Linked DNA regions of Drosophila melanogaster. The protein of the gene in region 2 interacts with the protein of the main gene of each other region in a pairwise test. Each region holds a gene or a part of one and is shown on either strand. Other genes may lie near its edges. The genes, in order: CG14042, CG5021 and CG13494.

Region 1 (9,088 bases), on a different chromosome or scaffold from region 2:
CAGCACTGTGTTGGTGTTTTTCTCTTTAAGAGCTCACCTGCTAAATTAACGAGGCTTTAGTTTAGCAATAATGCGCTTTTCGCCAATTTGTGCAATTTATTTTCTTTTATTCCTCGTAATGTAAGTCAGGGCTGGCGCGTAGCAAACACTGCTGTAAAGTTAACAGCAAGGTGGGCAGTGTTGGTAGGGCGTGGAAACACCAGGGCTGCACAGATGCTAAACCCAAAAATCGATGGGCTAACATTTATTTTTCGCTGACGGTCACATTGTCTGCATTTTCGTTTCTTTGGTGTACGCAAATAAATAAACGAATTTTTATGTGAACATGTATTAATATGTATAGGTAAATAAATTAATTTCCATGCCCATAATATGCACGTGTGACTGAAGGGCTGTGTGGTTAGGTAAACAGTTGTGGTCAGCGAAATATTGGCAAGGCAAGCGAAGACAACAGCTGTCGGTGATTATTTAAAATTCAAAAAATAGTTTTTTTTTGTTGTCGGTTTTTTACTGACATTTGCATATTTCAGAAGCAGGCGAAAGGTGAACTGAGTTCATTGTGCTGTTGGGCATTACGTGTGCGTCCATCCGGTCTCCCTCCTCCGCCGGAACATCATCCCCCCCATCCACTCGAGAACTCGGGAAGCTGCCAAAAAAAAAGAGAAAACAAAGACCAAAGAACACGCCGCTTGGCATAATCAATTAAAATGCCTAGGAATCTGCCGCTCCTCCCGCTGACCCTCTGTGCCGTCGCCTTGCTGGCCGCCGTGGGTCCCATGCCCGCCCATGGGGCGGTGGCCAACAGTCACAAGCACGAGAAGCACCTTAGCAAGGAGCGGGTCAAGGACGGCATCTACGCTCCCCGGGATGCCCACCACCACGGCGAGGATGGGGAGCACAACGTGGAGTTCGATCACGAGGCCATCATCGGTGAGTCAGCGCTAGTTAGCAGAGAAAGCAGATCATATTCAGTTTGAGAAAATCACTTTGAAAAGAGCGAAAAAGACTCCTTACAATGAAGGTCATAAAAGTAGTGCTCATTTCCTGAAAAGCAAATAAAATATAATCACGTTTTTTTGCCAGAACAACAATAGAATTTCCAGTTTCAGTTGTTAATTTGTAGAAATATAAAAGTTTATTTTAAGGATACTTTCCAACCCAATGAAATTATGAGTATTGACCATAATTTTGTATTATTTTAGTTATGAAAAGGACTCATACTTTTTTTTTGTGTATGCTATGGTGTATGCCATATGTTTGTTTACTTGCCTGAGGTTTATTTTTGTGGGTCTGCACACGGAAAGACTCATTCAAGCATCAAGAGAATACGGATCAGTCAATACACATACCCATTTATGCTCAAAAATATTGCTTGAAGGTCGAAATATAGTTTACTAATGAATTGGAATATGCTGTAAGAAAATGTATTATTGAAGTATATAAGTTTGTATAGTTTTATAGTGAAATCATTAAAATTGTTTTCTAAAAGCAATACGTCAATGGCATTGCTGCTGTTTTATGTTCCATTCAGTTTTAAATGCTAATGTATGTGTGTGCTATTATTACTCTTTAACCACAAAAAAGGCAACACGAAAGAGGCTCAGGAATTCGACTCACTTTCGCCAGACGAATCGAAGCGACGACTGTTGATATTGATCAAAATGATGGATCTGAATAAGGACGAATTTATTGACCGGCATGAGTTGAAAGCCTGGATATTAAGGTCCTTTAAGTGAGTGTTGTCTGTTGATTAATACTGCATCAATGTTAGCCAAGCCAATAATCACCTCAGCAACCTAATGCTTTGTCTAAATGCTTGCCTAAACTGAAAACGCATAGACTATTTGAAGCTTTTACTAAAATACATAATACAACTTGCAGAAAACTGTCGGAGGAAGAAGCCGCTGATCGATTTGAAGAAATAGACCAGGATGCGGACGAGAGAATTACGTGGAAGGAGTATCTCCAGGACACATACGCCATGGAGGATGAGGACTTCAAGAAGGAGACCATCGACTACGACAGCTACGAGGATGAGCAGAAGATGATCAAGCAGGACAAGGAGATGTTCAATGCGGCCGACACGAACAAGGATGGTGTGCTGACGCTGGAGGAATTCGTTTTATTCCAAAATCCCGAGGAGCATCCACAAATGTTGCCAATACTGCTGGAGCACACGATGCAGGACAAAGATGCGGATCACGATGGCAAGATCAACTTCCAGGAGTTTGTCGGCGACGCAGCCTCGCACCACGACAAGGAGTGGCTGATCACGGAGAAGGAGCGCTTCGACAAGGATCACGACTCCAATGGCGATGGCGTGCTGACGGGCGATGAGGTCTTATCCTGGATTGTGCCAAGCAATACGGCAATTGCCAACGACGAGGTGGACCATCTCTTTGTCTCCACCGATGAGGATCACGACGATCGCCTGTCCTACCTGGAAATACTCAACAACTACGATACCTTTGTGGGCAGTGAGGCCACCGACTACGGCGACCATTTACAAAACATTAACCATCTCTCCGACGAGCTCTAGATGCCATTCAAAGCCCCATCGTGCTATAGTGAACCTGTGCTTAGTATTGTATTTCGTTTAAATAGTTAGTAAATTTATGTTTATTTATGTAAATTCAAGTGACAATTGCAAATCAATATCGCCAAATTCTTTTGAGCACTTCTTACGAATTTAATTTTCAATACTATTTCGTTTGTTTCGTCATGTATCAATTACATTATGTGTAGTAATTTATATAAACAGAAACAAAAATCTACATAAAGCGTACTAAATAATTTTTACTAAATTACACTTTGCTTTATATGCAATTTATGACTAGACACATTTTCATTTTGTTACATTACAGTACTTAGGCCTTAATTGCTGTCTGCGAATTTACAAAATTAGTTTAGCAGCGTGTTCTTTTTGACTAGATTTCACACTCGTCTGTACCGAAAAATATGCTTAGCTCTAGATTATTTTGCGATTTTCTAGCAAGCACTTGAAGCCCCGAAAAACGTTTTTCTCATTTCTTATATCACAAATATTGCACCAAATTGGCCTATTTTCCCACATTTTCGCTACAAATGAAGACAAATCAAAAGGTCGGACGACTATTATCCACACAAATTCCGAATGCTTAAACTTAGCACGCTCTAAAGCTACTACGAGAAATGCACACGTCCCAGAGGAGCCACTGCATCGTCTGGTAGTCATTGGGCACTCCAATATGTGATGGCACTAAAATCATTCACGGGCCTCATACAAATCGTAATTCATAATGCACATCTCCAGCTGATTCACCTGGGGGCGAGGACGTACTCTATAAACTTAGCTTACGTTGACCGGACACGATCCGAGCTCTACAAATCACACAGTATATCGTAGTTGTCTACCTGACGCAGTGGCTTCTTCTCGTCGATCACCTCGCTCAGATAGTCGGCGATGGGCAGCGGCAGCTTCAGCTTCTCCAGCTGCGCAGCGCTTCGTACGCGGCGCATGATCACCGCCCGACAGCGATCCTGTAGGTTGACGAACTCCCTCCTGGTGCACTTTAGGGTCATCTCCGTTTTGGCGGCAGTAGAGCATACGATGGGGTACAGGGGCTCATCAATCTGTTGGGCAGTTAGGCGAGATTCTAGAGCCTGATCCTTGGAGGATTGAACAATTCAACCGGACTCACCTGATCCAATCCGCGGAAAGCAACGCCCAGGCACTTGCCATCCTTGTAGAAGGTGAGTGTGCCCTCAATGCCATCGAAGAGAACGCCAATTTGGGTGGGTTGATTCTCGCGGAACCGCTTCGTGTACAGCAGGGCCACGCCCTCGTGCCAGAGCACGCCCTTGTGGGACAGTCCCCAGCCGTGTTCGTTCTCGCCCAGCATGTTCCGGAAGGCGTTGGCATGTAGCCGTGCCGACTTGGTACCGATACCGAACATTATCGAGGTGCCAAAGACGCGCTGCGAGACATGAAGCTCCCAGTAATGCCGTCCGTTATTCAGGGATCTTTTGCCCTGGACACCGGCAGTGCCCTTGCTCCAGTTGGGATGGAAGTGCACGGTCCGCGAGTTGGGTCCTCTGAGCACCACTTCCTTGGAGCGGTGCCGCTTGCTCCACGTCCAGTTATCCTCAACGCCATTGGGCAGCGGACAGAAACGGGGTGGCGGCGATGTGGAAGATGATGCATCCAGTGAACCGGACGACAACCCTCCTGTTACTCCTCCTCGTCGACCGGTTGGACGACGTCTCCTCGGGGCAATTGCCGCTATGGGATGGGGGTGAGCCTGCTGTGGATCCACTTCAACATCAGACATTGTGTTGCGACTAGAAATTTTTTCGCTTCTCAATTTGTATCAATTTGACAAAGGGAACCCTTCGAACTGTTGGGAGGGGGGGGGGGGGTTAAGTTTTCAATAGGGTTGGCTTCCTGGGGTTGATGAGCTTCTCCAGGTCTCAAAAGTTGTTGAAATCGTTCAAGGAGCGGCTTCAGGGGTGGCGTCTTTAGCTCGTAGTTGTTTGTTCTTTCGTTTCTCTGGTGGTTAACTATGTTATACAATTTTTTTCAATACATCTTTATAGCATAGTTTTTATGAAGGGTTCTTCAGTTCTCCAGACGAACTCCAAGTGGATGATTCTTTATGCAAGGATGAGACCAAGAGGCGTTTATCTACAAGTAAGTGGTTAGTAGGGGCTGTTGGATATCCTCCTGCGGCAGGTCCTGCAGCTCCGCTTCCTCCTCCAGTGGAACGTCCTCAATAATATCCTGATCGAAGGACGCCTCCTCCTGCTCCTGCGATCCAACGCTGGTCAGTGAAGCGTAACCACTGCTCAGGGAACTGCTGCTCCAGCTGGCACTCAGTCGGACTGGACGATAGCTTCTCGTCGGTTGCAGTTGCTGCTGCTGCTGGCCAAGAGTCCGCTTTAGCTCCCGCTTGATTCGGCGAATCTGCCGGAAATCCTGCTCACCACCGGAACCCCTCTGCCTGTGCAGCTGCAGCTCCTGCAGATGGAAGTGATGGCGACAGTAGCCCTGCGGACTGTGAGCACAAAATCGACAGGCCTCGGAATTGAGGCCACCAACGAGCGGAAGGATTGGTTCGAGGATGCGACGCTTCTGGCTGCGCTTCTGTTGCTCCAGCTGCTGCTCCGCCAGGCGCTGTGGCGCCTTACGATCGCCCACCGTTTCGGCCACCTCCTGCAGCAGGCGCACGTTCCTCGGGAAGCATCGGTCGTGGACGTAGAGCACCAGGCGTTGGCAGTAGAGGCACAGCGATTGGAACAGCAGCAGCAGGACGATAATCATAAATATGTAGGGGTGGTGGTGTGTCCTCTTCCTTTTTTTTTTTTTTTTTTTTGGTGGGGCGGAAGACTGCTGCTTCTTGGGAGTCTCTGATTTTGGTGGTGCACTTCCCGTTGGCTTTGTGGTCTTGTTAGTTTATGCAAATTTCACGCTGCTTTCCAAACGAGAGCTCGCAATTTTCACTGTTTTTTTTTTCGAGGTACACACATTTTTTCCGTCTTGCTGCTCCTCCACACCTACAAAAAGCAGCTCCTCTTATCTGGCTGAAGTTACAACTCCCACCGACGACCGCCTCCGCTTGCGTCCAAGTCACACTGGCTTCTGGCACTTTTTTTCCAACTCACTTTTACGATTCCAACTTGAATCGCCCCACAAAGGCCTACCCTTATTTTCCACGACCTGCTTCCAACCACCAATTGGACTTTGTGCGCGTGTGTGTGTCTGCATATCATTATCATATGGCTCGGTCCACCCCACTTTATGCCCCGCAAACCGTCCACGGCGACCCCAATCGTCATCGCCACCCCCTTGACAGCTAACCAACCCCCTCCCCCACCGCAAATCCGCACAAAGAGAGGCAATGGCATGCGCACAAGTGCACGAGGTGAGTTCGCTCTCATCCTTGGCTTGGCATTGCTTTTTTAAGGGTTCTCCGCGACGGGGTTTCCACCACAATAGCCTACCCTTAGCCCTGGTCTTTTGAGGAAGATCTTATCACTCAATGTTAGGGGTAAAAAGTATGCAGTATTTGTCTTGCAGGAAGTTTATCACTGAAGGGCATACGATTTTTTATCCTCAACAATATTTGCTCTAAATAGGCTTGTATGAAATTGTGGTCGTAATTTGTATTTATAAATTTTAGTTTATTTTAAAACGATATGCGACAAGTTTTGTATAGCAGTTGAGGATTCGATTCGTTCGATATTCGTTCGATACCGCGTTTTGTTGCATTGTTTCGCATTTAATCGGTTTCAAAAATAAATGGAACATGCTGGCACATAGTTTATTTTATACTTTTGGACATACGACCGAGGCTAGTTTATTTATTTGTTTCATTTACTTAACATACGTAACGTAACTTAGAAGCAGTTTACATTTGTTTAGAACATTAATTGGCAGATAAAAAATGGCATTGTGGTCCAGGTCGGTCGGTAATTAGCACTTCGACTTGTGGATCCGTTTTTTTTTCTTTTTGGTTAGATTAAGGAATTTGTAGCAGTGTTGGTTCGTCGGTGTATGTATGTGTGTGTGTGTGTTGGTTTGTTTGTTTGTGTTTGTGTTGTGATCGTGTGGGTGTGCACACGATTCGTTGGTAATTTTAAGGCTTTACATTTAGATTAAACTTATGCTCTGTGCTGTGGGTGTGTCTGTGTTGGGATTGGAGGTCCTACGAGGAGTTCTTCATGCACACCTGGCACCTGGACACATGCGACTGCCGCTCGCCGGCCTTGATCGTCTGCTGCTGTGGCCTCTCGAACGGCTGTGAGGACTCCAGGTTGTACATCCAGAAGCTTGTCATCGTCTCATAGAAGTGGCACGTGCCCTTGGCGCCGTTGCACTCGATGAAGGGCGTTGCACGGAAGTCCTCCAAACAGGAGCCAGGCGATTGCAGCGCCTGTCCACCGCCACCGTTGCCCACGGCAGTGTGCTATTATAGGAAATGGTTGGGTTAATATTAGCATCATTATAAAAGAACTATTTAAAATCCCACAAGTAGTTAGGAATAAAGGTTGAAAATTAAAACTATTGTATCAAATCTTTCGCTACGCAGTATCCAACAGATGGCGCAAGAGTGTCGTTGGAACGTGCGCCATCTGCTGGAAAGCTAGGGAAACTTCGGAAACGCATCCCTTGTGGATTTTGAAAACTCTCATCATTCTTCTATAATCTAACGTTATAAGTGTTCCGATACTCACCATGAGGAAACTGTAGCCAATCCAGAGACCCTCCCAGCCATTCGGACAGTCGGGCACCTCTATCGTTTGACTGTGCACGGCGATCACATTAGCCGGCGCCTCACAAACGACGCAACGTGAGATGTACTGGCGGATCTCGATGTTTTCAACGGGCATCATCGGAATGGCGGCGTTGGTTGTCAGCCAGAAGGTCTTGTCATTTCTGGAGGCGTAGTTGCAGACGTTATTCTGACCACACGACAGTACGGGCAGCGTTGAGAAGCGTGGCACACAGGATCCGGGGGATCCAAGGTCCTGGTTGTGGGCATAGTCATTGCCATCGACGTACAACAGGGAGTAACCCGTCCACAGTTCCGTGTGTCCAGCCGAGCAAGCGGGCACCGTTTCCGATTGACTGTGTCGCGTAATCAGGATACCGGTGAGATAGTCCAGAGCAGCGGGGGCTGGAGCACCGGGCTCACCCTTCTGGCCGATCAAACCAATGGCGCCCTCATATCCCCTCTCGCCTGGCTCTCCGCGATCTCCCTTGGGTCCGGGTCGTCCCACGTTACCAGTCTCACCGATCAGGCCGCGCTCACCCTTTTCGCCACGCTCACCCTGGATGCCAATCAAGCCACGCTCTCCCGGACGTCCGGGCTCTCCCTTAGGTCCATTGCGTCCCGGCTGACCAGGTTCGCCCTTGGGTCCTGGTGGTGGCAGCATTCCTGGTTCACCCTTCTGTCCAGGCAGACCTGGTGTTCCGTCGCGTCCATCGCGTCCCTTGGGCCCGGTGAAGCCGCGCTCGCCAGGAGCTCCGACAGGTCCATCGTTTCCATTTAAGCCAGGGTAGCCGGTATCTCCCTTCTGTCCAACCAAGCCGGGCAGTCCAGACGGTCCTTGGAGTCCTCGGTCACCCTTGTCTCCCTTTTGTCCCTCGAAGCCATTCAGACCACGTTCGCCCTTAAAGCCCTGCGGTCCAGTATCTCCCTTCAATCCAGGTGCGCCGGGGAAGCCATCCTGTCCTGGTTGTCCGGGACTGCCGGCGAGACCACGCTCTCCCTTGCTGCCAGCTGGTCCAATGGGTCCAGGCAGGCCCACGAGGCCGGGCTCTCCGGCCAAGCCAGGCAGACCACGTTCTCCAATTAAGCCGGGTGCTCCAATAAGACCTGAATGGGTTAAATAACGTTGATTGGTGACATGGTTATATGAACCAATTGTGTAAATACAAATATGGGATCACAAACTCACCTTGACGTCCGTTTCTGCCTGGGCGACCGGGCAGACCCTTCTCGCCCTTAATGGTAACTCCTGGATAACCGATCTCGCCTCTTGGACCAATGTCTCCCTTGGCTCCGGGAATGCCGTTCAATCCGCTTGCACCTGGTGGTCCCTGCAATCCGCGATCTCCCTTTGCTCCAGCGACGCCAGCAGGACCAGTCAAGCCTCGTTCGCCTTGCTCGCCCTTCTCGCCAGTGTAGCCGCGCTCGCCCTGGGATCCCTTATCACCACGGATGTCGGGAACGGTGGCCGGAAGACCGGGCTGACCACGAATACCGCGCTCACCCTTAGGGCCAGGAGCACCGGTGAAGCCCTGCAGTCCAACGGGTCCAGTCTCACCCTTGAGTCCGGGCAGACCAGATAGACCAGGCTCTCCCTTGTCACCGCGATCACCAGGATAGCCAACAGCACCAGGAGCACCAGCAGCGCCGGGCAAACCATCCATTCCGGGAGCACCAGGAATACCAGGTGCGCCGACAGATCCCTTCTCGCCAGGCTGGCCCCAAACGCCCTGCAGACCTTGTTCACCCTTCTCGCCGTTAATTCCATCTCGTCCATCGATTCCACTGCGTCCCTGGTCACCCTTCTCGCCTGGCGGACCAGCACGACCGTGAACAGC
Region 2 (7,206 bases):
AACACGGCATAAATATCTTTTTCAAGGTAAGGAGAATATGATTACTTACCCCCTTACAGTCCGGCAGTCCGGATTGAGAATGATCTGCACCAGTGAGGTGACTATAAGCGTGGAGTCCAACCCCTTAGCACCGTGCACTAACACTGGACTTCCCTCTTGGTCCAGGCATTGGGCCACCACACAGGAGGCGTTCAGTGAGTTCAGCACAAGACTAAGCCAGCCGCTGTTCTCCAGTCGCGATAGCCATTTATCAGTACTGCATCCCAAATCGTTGCAAGCTTCGATAAGCCGAGCAAAGCTGTCCAAAATAGAGGCGGGCGAACTGACGTTTCCAATTGAACGATTTACCTTCTTCCACTGCGAGTAGTGCAGGTCAGTTTCCGTATTCGATTTGCCCTTACCCCAAGTGTCCACGATGAACCCCTTCCGACTGCGACCCAGCACCAGATTAAGGATAGCCTCGTCAGCTCTACAGCGCTTGATGCCCTGAATGGACAGCGGCTGGGAGCTGCGCATTAGTGTGGCCTGCAAATATGAATCATTGAATTAATTTAATAAAATTTGATGATGTAGATGCAATGACTTACGCCATTTTCATGCCTGTAGCTGAGCACGGGGAAGCGGCCGCCATCGCGGAACGCAGCGGAGAGCACTATCTGCTCGTCCGTAATTGCTTTAGGTACAATTAGCGTGGCGCCATATGTGGCACAGACGCTGAAGTCTCTGTTGACGTTGGTGATGCGCCACTCGCAGGAGGCCTGGGGACTTTGAAGCGCACCACCTCCCACACCACCAACACCACACGCAAGGGCTTCTATCGCATAGCCATTTTGCAGAGGATGGGGAATGCCGGCGCCCACAGTCAACGTCGATGTCGAAGTTGATGGCATGCAAATTGTTATGTTGGCCACATTCGGCGAGGACGCACCGCCCATGCCAACCCCGCTTATGAGTTTGGCGAACTCCAGCTCGGGCCTGTCGTTTGGATGGGGAGGTTAATTGAATTGTAGCCAATTTGTTAGTTATGGAGAAGCCGTGTACCCACCTAAACATCGTGTAGCCGTCCTCTAGGATCGAGTACATGGGCCGGTAGAAGAATGGATAGAGCAGTTCGGTGTTCTGGATGGCACTGAGTGCCTCCAGCGATGCGGCCACGTTGAAGAACTCCTTGCCGCACTTTATCTCCAACGAAATGATGCGCAGGTCCTTGCACTTCAGGGTGATAATCCCACCGACCACGATATTCTGCGACAAACTAGGCTTCTTCTCCACACAGTCGATGTTCTTGTGGAGCAACTGAAAAGAGGGGGATGAGCATGATGAATTTCTAATTCAATTATGAGCGCTCCACTGATGCCGAAGCACATCGGATTAGGTGGGCAGGCCTCAACCCACTTACCCATAGCTCCTGGCTGGTTTCCTGGCGGGCGCTGAGCAGCAAATGGTGCCCTGTGATGCACAGTGTGCCAACTGTTGCACCCGACGCCCCCGCATTCGATGGGTCGTGCAGCAGGACACCGTCCAGCTTGGGGGTCTTTATAAGGTCGGCGAATTCCATGGTGTCGCCCTCGGCGGGGTGTCCGATTTGATTTGGCCCCCACTAATTAACTTTTTGCATTTTGCCCCGGCTATCTCCTGTTGCCACTTGATTGCTTCTGTCGACGCCGCCTTCCACCTCCGCCCTTCTTCGCCACGGTTATCCCGCCTTTCGAGTCCCCTTTTTTGAACCCACAGCAGTGCGTACGTCACCGGTTCTGGCGGGGATTTGGCGGACTTACGGCACTGCTGCTCTGCAGCTAACAATGAAACTCGTTCCGGGCTGCAAAAACTTTTGTTCCACGCCCCCGCTTACGGCACAGATTGCATTTCTTTCTTTCTTTTCGATTCCGTTTCCGACCGACTGTTCTGTTTTGTGCTTTGTGCCAGTGTGCCCGTCGCTCACTGAGCCGGAAAGCTTTGTTGTGGCGTCCACTACCACACTGCGTTTTGCCTATGAACCGTTATTGCCACTAACAAAGAACTAAAAAATTATCAGGTTTTTTAATATGTAAAAATATTTTTAAATTGTTTTGCAATTTCATTTAGTTTAGTTTTGCAGGAATGATTATATTTACGCTTCATTTTTAAATATATGTTTACGACAGTTTCATATATGAAACTAAAATGACAAAAAAGAAAATAAACTAAATAATTTATAGTAATCTAACAGTAATGAAAATTATTTGCTTCACGTCTTTCGTACTCAGATTAAGATGCAGAGAATAAAAATAAAACACATTTCGCTATATCTGAATCCCTTTTAATAACTATTCTTAAATTTGTAGTTAAACCATTCGAAATAAAACCATGTGGCATACTGGTTGCATGTCACACGCACATGCGGTCCTTTAATCCGAGTAAAAGTAAGAAATGATTATGGTAGATTGCAGTATGGCTAAATTAAGTTTTACATATGGTACACAGACAGCGATGCCAATCGAAGGTCGTGGTCCGCGCCAGAAGAAGCGTCGAATACTCTTTGGAATGCGCTGCAGCAGACGGTGGCAAGGTGACTTAGTAGATGGCGTCTCCACCAGCTCAAACGACTCCCGTCGGGCGTACATTTGTTGGCGGTGGGGCGCCACTGGGCCTTGTCATGATGTCCACGGCATTCTTGAAGAACTGCGTTTTCACAAAGTCTGTGGCGGCGGAATTCAGATCCTTATTGGCACCATAGTTACACTTGACGTAGCCATACAGATTGGCGGCATTCAGCGCAATGGCGATCATTACCAGCAGTAGCCATTTGAACTTCAGGCCGAATAGGGCGAACAGGAAGAAGAGGCCCCAGAAGACGGGACAGAGGATGAGTCCCAGCCAGAAGATGCGCTGCTCGTTCTTGTTGACCCGACTCTGGTAGGATTCAGACTGCGTTTCATTATCAAGGGCAATCTAGTTAGCTATGCTCGTGACTCACGTTCTTTGACTCAAACACCCAGTGCGATACGCCATCGTCGTCGACGTAGTTCCACCAGCGGAGACCGACCAGCAATCTGCCCGAGATGTTCTTCACCGTCCAGAAGTCGGCGGACAGGAAGAGCACCACGAAAACGAAGCTGGTGATGAAGGAGTCGCTGAACCAACCGCAGAACATATAGATCAGGATGGCGGCGCCCCTGAAGAACAGGTGGAAGAAGGTGACGTACGGGTGCCTGTGGAGTACACGCGTTGGGTTGGGTTGGGGTAAATGGAATTGATCAACAAACATTATGGTTCTGCATACGTGTATTTCTGACCCGCGCGACTGGGATCCCGCATCTCGTCCTCCTCGCCAAAGGGTATCGTGTCATCGTCGAGCAGCGGCACCTGTGTAACACGTATGTGGGATTAGTTTGGCTTGCCTCGTTGTAAAATATGAGTTTTCGTGGAAAACCTCGGATCGTATTGTCAGAATGGCACCCCAATCAAGCAGCTTGTTAGGTGTTAGTGCGGCATACATACATTTCTTACCGTAGCGGATGCCATGCTGGTGTAGGGAGTGACTTCTAATTCCTAGTTGGGTGCAATTTTCATGGATTTTCGTGGTTTTTCAGGGGATTTAATATATTTTCTTCGCCTGGGACGTTGTTGTTGTTTCTGCCTGCGTAGCCTTCTATCGTTTTCGCACTGAGTCGATAGCTCGCAGGGGTGAAGCACTTCTTCGACTTCGATTGGGTTGGCAGCACCATAAGTAATCGAGCTTAAACCTATCGTATTTGAAAATTTTGCAAACATTTTTTATTGAGCTCCCCTTCATTTTGTTTGTGGAATTGTTATTTGCAATAGCAGCGCCAAATGAGAAAAAAATGCCACTTTTAAGTTATTTATGAAACATAATTTTTTACGCATCATATTAAGTAATAAAAGCCGAAGCAATATTATCTAAGACGACTTTTATGTTCTGTGACCCGGATTCTCAATGTTACATGGTTGTGGCTGAAAACCAGCAGAGTGTGCAAAAAGTTGTACTCCAACCGCAGTGGAAGCCATTGAAATGCAGCATCCATCACTTGCCAAGTTAGCCCACAAACTTCATCAGTAGCTCGTTGATCGTCTGCTCTTTCTGTCGAACTTAACTACCAACGTTTCAAAATGGAAAAATGCCGTGCCTCCTCTAGGATAATCATAATCGGAGCAGGAGTTTCGGGCATAGCCGCCGCCACTCGACTCCTGCAAAACAATTTCCAGAATGTTCAGATCCTGGAGGCGGAGGATCGCATTGGCGGGCGGATCAACACCGTGTATTTTGGTGACAACGTCATCGATTTGGGAGCCCAGTGGTGTCATGGAAAGCAGCAAAATTGTGTATACGACATGGTCAAGGATATGGGTATCCTGCACGAGACAGGCGACTATTACAGTCCCATAAAGAGGGTGAGATCCAACAAGGAGGTGGTTCCACATGAGTTGGCCTGCAGGATTCACGACATTGCTGTGAAGAGCATGCCGAGTGGACCTCACCCGGTTGTGGGATCCTTTGGCACCCACCTGACTCAGACCTTCTGGCGCAAGATCGAGTCCGAGCTACCCCAAGTGAATAGGGATGTGGCTAGTGAGGCCTTGAATACATTTGCGAAGCATGAAAGCTCTATTATTGGTGCGGACAATCTTTTCGAGGTCTCCGTTAGGGAACACATCGAGTACCACGAATGTGATGGCGACAAGCTGCTCCACTGGGGAACGAAGGGTTACCGGCGCTTCCTGCGGCTGCTGATGAAGGTCAGCGCGGATACGCCAGAAGAGCTGGGTCTACTGGAAGGACGTATTCAACTTGATATGAAGGTCATCAAGATTGAGTTGGCGTGCCCCCGTAAGGTAATCCTGCGCTGCCAGGATGGGGATTACTTCGAGGCGGACCACGTCATCTGCACCGTTTCCCTGGGAGTCCTGCAGGAGCAGCACGAGAAACTGTTCGTCCCGCCGCTGCCCGCAGCCAAGGTGAATGCCATTCGCAGCCTCACCCTGGGCACTGTGAACAAACTGTATTTGGAGTATGAGAAGCAACCTCTTCCTGACGGCTGGGTGGGTTTCTTCTGCTTTTGGCTGGAAGAGGATCTGATAGAGCTGCGAAAGACGGAATATTTCTGGGTGGAGGGTATAACCGGTGTACACATGATCACTTGTCAGCCCCGAATGTTGATGGCCTGGGTGAATGGTCCGCATGGACGCCACATGGAGACCCTGTCCGATGAGAAAGTCCTTGAGGGCTTGTACTGGCTTTTCCGAAAGTTCCTCACTTTCGAAATTCCGCCGCCAAAGCGTTTCGTTCGCAGCTCGTGGTTTTCGAATCCGAATTTCCGTGGCAGTTGGAGTTATCGTGGAGTTATGGCCGATGAAAGGAATACGGGCCCCTGGGATCTAGAGTCTCCTGTGTTGGGCGAAGATGGTCATTTAGGCCTCCTTTTTGCCGGAGAAGCGTCTAGCAGGAATCACTTTTCCACCGTTCACGGAGCTGTGGAGGCGGGCTATCGGGAGGCAGACCGGCTCATTGATCATTACACCTCATGCAGTGTCAGTGCCTGAAAAATATATTTTTTTATCGTACTTTTCTTTATGGTTTCTTAATAAAATTGTTCTCTTTTATAAATTAAAAAAAATTACATTGGATCCTGATATTCACATACGTACCCTCTGAGATGTTTTATGTTTCTCTTTTGACAAATCAAATAAATAATGAAGTTTGAAAAAAAATTGAGGAGGAAAGCTCTACCGTTTCTCGTTTGAAATTGGCGCCCATAAGCCGTATATCGATTATCTCCTCAGCTGTTTTTATACCATCACCAATAAGATTACAATTTTTTTTGACATAACATAACACAACATTAAAAATGCAAATAATTGGGAATTGTAGCAGTAAACTGCTCAGACACAAGTACCTGTGCCAGCCAAGGGTGTACTCTCTATACTACAGTACCCTTAAAGGTGCGTTACCTCCAGTTTCATTCAAAACCCCAGTGCCGGCTAAAGAACTCACTTTTTTCCACTTTTAGATGCGGCTAATGAGCTTCCCTTGGCAGCAGGATACCAGCCACAACCAGTGGAAAATGCTTACTGGGAGCGGGAGCATCGCCAGGCAAATTTGCCCAAGGCTTCAGCCAGCAGTTGCAAGCGGGGGACCTATCGCATGCTTCTACCGCCACCAAATGTAACCGGGAATCTACATTTGGGCCATGCACTGATGGCCACCGTGCAGGATGTGATTGCCCGCCAGCGCGAACAGCTTGGCTACCAGGTGGACTGGGTACCAGGCACAGATCACGCGGGTATCGCCACCCAGGTGGTCGTAGAGCGCACGATTGCCGCTTCTCAGGCGAAAACCCGTCATGAATTGGGACGTTCTGCTTTTCTGGACGAAGTATGGCGCTGGAAGGCGGAAAAGGGTGCTGGTATCGTACAGGATCTCCGCCAACTCGGCTGTAAACTGAATTGGCAACGAGAATACTTCACAATGGATGAGCAGCAGGCGCATGCGGTCAACGTAGCTTTCGAGCGACTCTTTGAAGAAGGCCTAATTCAGCGGCGCAACTCGGTTGTCAACTGGTGCACCGCTCTACGTTCCGCGATATCTGATATCGAGGTGGACAGTGTAGAGATCACGGAGCCGGTAGAGATATCCGTTCCAGGCTACGATCACAAAGTACTCTTTGGCAGAATGTACGATTTCGCCTATCACGTAGTGGATGGTGAAGCACTGCCCGATGGTTCGGTTGAAGAGATTGTGGTGTCTACCACTAGACCAGAGACAATTTTGGGTGATGTAGCTGTCGCAGTACATCCGCTGGATCCGCGCTACGCCAAGTACCGAAACATTGATCAGGTTAAGCTCAAGCATCCTTTCCGTGACGACACCATTCCACTCGTTTTCGATATCACCGTGGACCAGGAGTTTGGCACCGGGGCAGTGAAAATCACACCAGCCCATGACAAATTTGATTTCGAGCTGGCCACTCGCCATAAGCTTGAACCTCGCCAGGTCTTTACTGAAACGGGTCTTGTGGTGGATGCCTATTCTGAGTACAAGGGTATTCCGCGCTTCGAGGCGCGAGATCTCATCGTCAATCGCCTGGAAGAGATGGATTTGCTGCGACAGGTGCGCTCTCATACCATGCAGTTGCCCATCTGCTCGCGTTCCAAGGACGTCATAGAGTACATGATATTGCCGCAATGGTTTCTTAAGTGCAAAGACTT
Region 3 (6,482 bases), on a different chromosome or scaffold from region 2:
GCTACTTGGATCGCTTCGATGCCTTCACTGCCGTAAATGCGAATAAAACGGAGCAGAAGCTAAATGCCTTCTATGGCGTGATTGAGGACTATCTAGATTCGGATACCACGGGAGATCCACTGAGAACTTCCAGTATCGAGACCCAGTTGATTGCGCTTTGCTTGCAGCGCAACGGATTCGATCGATGGAAGCGCACGGTTCAGACCCGGACATCCCAGCTTCAGAAGCTGATATACCGGAAGTTGAGGAAGCACCTGGAGTCCATAGACAGGGAGGATCGTTTGGCTGTGGAGCGCAGGTGGAGGAAAATCTTGACTCGTGGCGGACCCCGAAGATTGGAGAAGCTGAGGGAATTCGTCAAATGGCTGGGAAATTTCAGAGATTAGAGTGCGGCGGCCCGGGTGAACGAATTGTTAGGCAATACGATATGCCGTTTAGTGATAAGAAGAGTTATAAACATTATTTATGGGTGGGTGGAGCAAGAGAATGTTTGTGGTTTAAATATAACCGGCCATGACCTTGAGGTATTATCAATGAAAGCAATATAAGAACGAAGTTTGAATTTGCATTAAGAATGTATTTTAGTAATATTTATTATTGCTATGTTAAGCAGTTCCTTGGCTAGAAAGTGGATGTTCTTTATAAAAGAAAACGTATTCATAGCATTTGTAAATTGAACATGTACCAACGCCTGGCAGTAAGAAAGTGCATCGAAGCTATTATCCTTTTGTGTCCTTGCACTTACTCCCCCTCGATAAATGCAATTTTAGCACAGCACGTCCCCTTCCTCATCACTCGGATCATGTATGAGGGCATTGTTTAATGCACTTCACAGCTGGAGGAAACTTTTTCCAGGCCCTGTGTCGACGGCAATGAAAACTTTGTCATGCCTGGCAAAGAGGATGATAAACTTGGGTAAAAATTATGAAACTGAATATGGAAGCGTTGGCGAAATTGAGACAGCAAAACAACAGAGCCAACAGACAGGCAAAAGACATACGAGACTTTTAGCCAAGCGAGGACTAAAACTGAAACTAAAACTGATACTTTTTATGGATGGCAAGTGAAAAATGTAGACAGTTGCAGAACGACTTTCCGGGCGGGGGCCAAAGGCAGGAGGTGAACGGGATTTGCTGGGATGAAAGAAAAATGGCAACTGCATTTCCTGTCTGAGAGCTGACAAAGTGCTGAGTGCATTTACGACTTGGACTTGGGCGAGTGTTTTGTGTCTTTCCTGCAGCTGCAGGAGATGCCAGGAATTTATGCACTCAGTCCATAGTCCACAGTCCGCAGAGAAAGCTCTGGAAATTCCTGACCTGAGGCATTTTCTGTAGGGCCTGGGCTATTTTCTTTGGGCCATCTGATAATCGGCCCCAGCTGTGGCTAATCGGTTTACATTTGTCACACTGGCACTTTGGCCAAGGATTCTCTACTGGTAGATGCCACTTGTCCAGGAATCTGGTAAGTCCTGACGTTTCTCCTTAGAATTATGTTTGGTTAATGTTATATTGAACTTCAGTACATCCTTTTCCAATTACTCTGCCGTAATTTGGCAGGACCGCATTAATTTGTCGGCAAAATAATTCCTTTGGACTTCGATTCATACAAAACATATAATTTTATTAGCACAAGTTTCAGTTTTAATGACAGAATTTCAACGACAGTCAGGGTTCCCTTCCTATAAACTCGTCGCCTCGGCGTCTACAGCGAAAACAGAGAAAGGACTTCATACAACCAAAAAGGACGAGAACACCCATACAAGCACAGCAGGCAGCAATGATAAGAAAAATTACGACGAATATGAACAAAAGTCCCCAAGCACCTAGGTTAGTATCCGGGTGTCCAGTGGTTGTACGGTACGCCACAGTTGTCATGTTAAAGTCTATATATTCAATATCGTATTCAGATAGGGTTGTAGCATCCAACTCGGCCATAGCTTATGGGAAATAAATTGCAAATTTTGTTGCTTTCGATAATAGATTGAACCCTCTAAATGGAAGGAAATATGTATAAGGAAAATCACATTAAATTAACGAATGCTTCTCACCGTTCCTTGCATAGCAGCTTAAGAATTTCGATGACCCTGACCCTTCAGAAATTTTATTTTGGGTATAGATTTTTTTTTAATTTTAAGAGTACAGTCGCAGCTTACTGAAGTCGATATTTTTTTGTACTTTAAATTTGATTTTTGGTTGCCATATATTAAGTTAATAGATATCATTTCAAAATTAAGCTAGATTTTTTTATTTTTTATGAATAGACAACAATTTTGCCAATGAGCATACGGATGCTCCTAACGAATCTGTACCTGAGCACATTAAATTTATAGGCTTTCGAATCGCATATCCTAGCACTACGTACATATTAATAGAAACTTGAATTATCGCCGAATTAATCATCGTCCAAGGTGCAGTCCCCACAGCCGTCGCCACAATCGCCACACCCGCCGCCATCGCCGCAACATCCACCGCCGTCATCGCCGCAACATCCACCGCCGCCGCCTTCACCACAACATCCTTCGTCGCAAGCGAGGCACGCGGAGCAGGCGAGTCCGCAACAGCCGCACAGGCAGAGGAGCGGCAGGCAGATGATGAGCAGGCAGCAGAGGAGCACCATAACAACGATCAGGACAATAATACCGACAGCCATGCTACCCGCCTTGGCGGCCTCTGTAGTGGTGGTGGTGGCGATCGTGGTGCTCCATGAGGATGTTTCCGTCATCCCGCCTTCTACCGTTGATAATGTGTCATCCATGATTAATCACTTGTTGACGGTATTGAAATGTTTAACGTTTAGCTTATTGTAAATTAGAATAAATTACAAAAATTCAGACAGCAAAGTTGAGTGTGTATTCAAAGACTCCTTCAGCACAATTTTCATATGTGCCCACTTTCAATTTAGCATCATATTTGGTTTTAAATATATTCAAGTTCCCCATCTACGAAAGACAAAAGCAAAGAAGCTTATGGGCATAGGTGCATTCGTCACGCTTCCACACGAAGCGACTTCTAACGATCAATCGCACTTAAAATCCTTTCCACAAAAGTACTCATTAAACCCACGAACACACCACCCGTCATACAATGCCCATTCGAATTGTATAATAATTAATGAAATGCATTAACGAAAGCATTTTGCGGGTGGAACTGGGATTGGGTTGGCAGAGAGGGGTGGTCCTCGAACGGGGATCTGGGGAGCTGTCCCTGAGCTCCTGTGTGTACCTGCGCTCGTTAGCGCTCCAAACACCCACTCTGCGAAACACCCCCACTTTAACTCATATGCAAAAAACACACCCTCGCCTCACGCCATCATTATCATAATTTGAATGTGATGCGAGCTTTAAAATATTCATGCGAGTAGAAAGATTTTTTTCAAGTGTGCGCACGTGTGCGCCTGGGTTCGTTATAGGGAGCTGTTTACTGTACCAAGAGGTCGTTGATTATAATGACTGTATTTTGTGCGCTGATTACTCCACAGAGAAAATTAAGAAAATGAGTCAACAACTTAATGCAAAAAACAAAAGGAAGCTCTTCGATAAACAGCGAAATGAATATATATTTTTTCAGATATCTATCTGTTTCGTGCATAATAAATATAAACTGCGTTGGACTTCAACCATAATTAAACACTGAACATTGTGTTAAGTAACTAAAGGTTGATCAAACAACTCCTGATAATATACTCACCGGGAAAGTAAAAATCCACTTCTCGTTCTGAATCACAAATCAGTGATTGCAATTGGGAACTATTAGACACGTTTGTCGGCCAATTGGCGGTGGCAGCATTGAAAGCTCATTCAATTCACTGCCTCACACTGACACCCACACTCAGACATGCATTCACCCACACCTGCAAACTCACTCACACACACACACACATACACACCTTTAACATATAGCATCATGGCACACGTGGCTGCATGTCAAAGTGCAAAGTTTTGTGCCACAAAAAACAAGCTGCGAGGGGTGGCAATGTGGGTAATGGCAGTCAAAAGCGCCGCTTGTCGATGTTTTCTGAAAAAAGAAGGAATGAAATCGTAGGGGAAAGCAGAAAAAAGTTACGTTTTTCACGGCGTTGTTGCTGGCAACCCTTTTAGCTCTGGCAATTTAAACTCGCCCGCTCCAAAGTTGCCCACTTGCCATATCCTGTCGCAGGCGTTGTCCTTGTTGTTGCTGCGGTTGGTGCCTCCGTGTAGTTGCCGCATCCCTCGAACGGCTGAGGATCCTCAGGGGGTTAAGAGCTTTTGGCTGCGGGCTGAGGGGTAACTGCGTGGCATGCAATGCGCGATTGCACAAAGTCAACTTGCACATTAGAATTCGACGAAGGATGAGTTGCAGGGCAACGCGTTGAAAGGCGGAAGGACTAGGCTCATCTGTCTGCGATTCCATCTCGGGGTAAAACTGAATACTAAACAGGCGTCTTCACTACACTAAATATATTTTCAGAAACTATTTAAATCTAAGAAATGGATTTATAGCAAGTTAAGGCTATCTTTCCACTTGAATAGATGCGAATGTAAAGAAAATCATCTTCCGGCAAATATGACTTCCTAGTCGAAAAGTCCCAAATGGTCAGATATCCGTCCCCAATGAAAATCGTACGCAGCTGAATTTATGTGTATTCCCAACCAATCATCATCATCATCAGGAACAAACGCAATGGCAATGATCATGTTCGTATCCTGCCATCATCGCATTCATTGGCACTCAACGGGGGCAGCGAATCGCAATCGTAAACTTGATTGTAATAGTATAATTTTTGGCGTAAAAGCCAAACAAATAAACAAGACAAGCACTTGGATTCCCGGCGTATCCCATCCGGCAGATAATCCCCGCACATATGAGTCGGTGGATGAGGCGGCCGAATTTGCCGGCCCCATTTTCATGCAATTTTTATGACTTGGCTCTGTGCGCTGTTCTTTATTTTTTTTTTTGGGGGGGGGGGGCGAATCGAGAGCATCTTACTCATAATCCGCCCCAATGGACCTTTCTCTGCAGGTCTGCAAAACCATTTACTTTTCCCCGGCCAGAAGCTTGGATTTCCCTCGATTTCTCTTATTTTTGCCCTGCTTACCACGTCACGCATCCTGCGAAAAGTTATTGTTATCCTTTTGTTTTAGTGCGCATCTTTTATACTCGTTTCATTTTTTTCTCCTGTTCTTATTGCCTTGGCCGGCCCTTTCGCATTGATTCATAATACATAAATATAAATATTGCGTATACGCAGCGTTTCGCTCGCCCTCGATTGCCATAAATTCTTATAAGTGTGGCAGAAACTCACTCACACATACAGGCACACACTATGGGCAAGCCCAGCGCCAAAGTCATCAATCTTTTAGCATTTCACTTAGATAAAGCAAACTTGTACTCCCTTTCCCTAGTCCCAATATTTGTGCATAAATATTAATATTGCATGACCATTTTTATTTGTTTGCCGGCCAGACAGGATCTTGGACTTTCTAGAGTACTGAAATCGATAAGCTGACGCTACTGACCCAGGATTCACTGAATATTAATGTTGTAGAATTAACATTAGAGTTCAAATTGGTAAACCTGGCTAGTTCCTACTAAAGTCCTTCGTCTGCTGACTACAATGTATTGCTGGCATGCGAAGGGCTACAATTGACTTAATTTTCCTTTTTCCTTTGCTAACTCGAAATGATTGGTTTTTTCGCGGGCCAACTCTGGCCAATAAATTCGCCCTGATTTATGTGGTTAAATAATTAGCGCCTTTTAGGAGCTATTAAATGGATTCCAAACAACGCCCATCAATCGGCCATTCCCCATTTGCTTGGCAATCGAACGACGGCGGTAATAAATTGAATGCTCCAATATTTTGGCACGGGGCCCATTGAATTTAAATATGTGCAATTACATTTAAATGTTTGGTCATGTGTGGATTTCGATTTCGGATCAAATAGCTGAGTAGGAGGTGTCTGCGAAAGTATCTTTGCCTTCGAAATGCGGCTCTGTCTGCCCGCACATGCCAATAAATTTCGAGTCACAAAGTGTCAACGCGACCGAGCCCTCCGATTTGCATATATTCGAATGTATCCCCTCTTTTCACTGTACTGCAGGCCCTTCCTTTGCGCTACTTACAACAATATTATAATGGAATCCCACTTGAAAATAGAGCAATATCCACTTGCATATGTTGCCGCGGACATTTCCAGAATGAGACGATGCTATAAATATTATTGAATTGTTCCAGCCCTCCAGTGCTCTACGGCTCCCTTCTCAAGGACCCGCCCCTTTGCTGCAACAACAACAGCAACCGACGATGATTGCGGCAAGCGGATGTAAAAACCTTGGCAATGACAGTTTTTGGGCTCCGATCCGGTCTACGTCTGTTATGCAAATATCTTTATATATAAATGCGGGTGCACTGCAAAAAATTGATTAGCAAGAAGTTTGAAATATATGTAATACATTACATTTAAGTCTATAGTTATGTATCTATCATTTTGAGATACAAAACATACA

The links.
Region 1: the proteins of CG5021 (region 2) and CG14042 interact in a two-hybrid assay, tested with the Drosophila melanogaster proteins (one large-scale study listed by BioGRID).
Region 3: the proteins of CG5021 (region 2) and CG13494 interact in a two-hybrid assay, tested with the Drosophila melanogaster proteins (one large-scale study listed by BioGRID).

The regions. Positions count from the first base shown.
Region 1 is NT_033779.5:5,034,333-5,043,420, reverse strand, and holds CG14042 (uncharacterized protein), read right to left. Parts: upstream 5,713-9,088; 5' UTR 5,300-5,712; coding exon 4,664-5,299; 3' UTR 4,311-4,663; coding exon of another isoform or gene 3,681-4,310; intron 3,613-3,680; coding exon of another isoform or gene 3,361-3,612; 3' UTR 3,302-3,360; coding exon of another isoform or gene 3,245-3,301; 3' UTR 2,603-3,244; downstream 1-2,602. Other genes in the region: CG31650 (uncharacterized protein), read left to right, coding at 708-930, 1,585-1,732, 1,882-2,539; SP555, read right to left, coding at 3,245-3,301, 3,394-3,612, 3,681-4,310; Col4a1 (collagen type IV alpha 1), read right to left, coding at 6,684-6,944, 7,213-8,357, 8,440-9,088.
Region 2 is NT_037436.4:8,963,267-8,970,472, reverse strand, and holds CG5021 (uncharacterized protein), read right to left. Parts: upstream 3,645-7,206; 5' UTR 3,505-3,644; coding exon 3,481-3,504; intron 3,346-3,480; coding exon 3,263-3,345; intron 3,192-3,262; coding exon 2,957-3,191; intron 2,908-2,956; coding exon 2,578-2,907; 3' UTR 2,302-2,577; downstream 1-2,301. Other genes in the region: CG5026 (uncharacterized protein), read right to left, coding at 50-525, 588-975, 1,046-1,296, 1,400-1,558; CG5653 (uncharacterized protein), read left to right, coding at 4,111-5,541; ValRS-m (Valyl-tRNA synthetase, mitochondrial), read left to right, coding at 5,847-5,940, 6,009-7,206.
Region 3 is NT_033778.4:21,952,019-21,958,500, forward strand, and holds CG13494 (uncharacterized protein), read right to left. Parts: upstream 2,828-6,482; 5' UTR 2,755-2,827; coding exon 2,392-2,754; 3' UTR 2,224-2,391; downstream 1-2,223. Other genes in the region: CG13488 (uncharacterized protein), read left to right, coding at 1-386; CG43405 (uncharacterized protein), read right to left, coding at 1,665-1,934.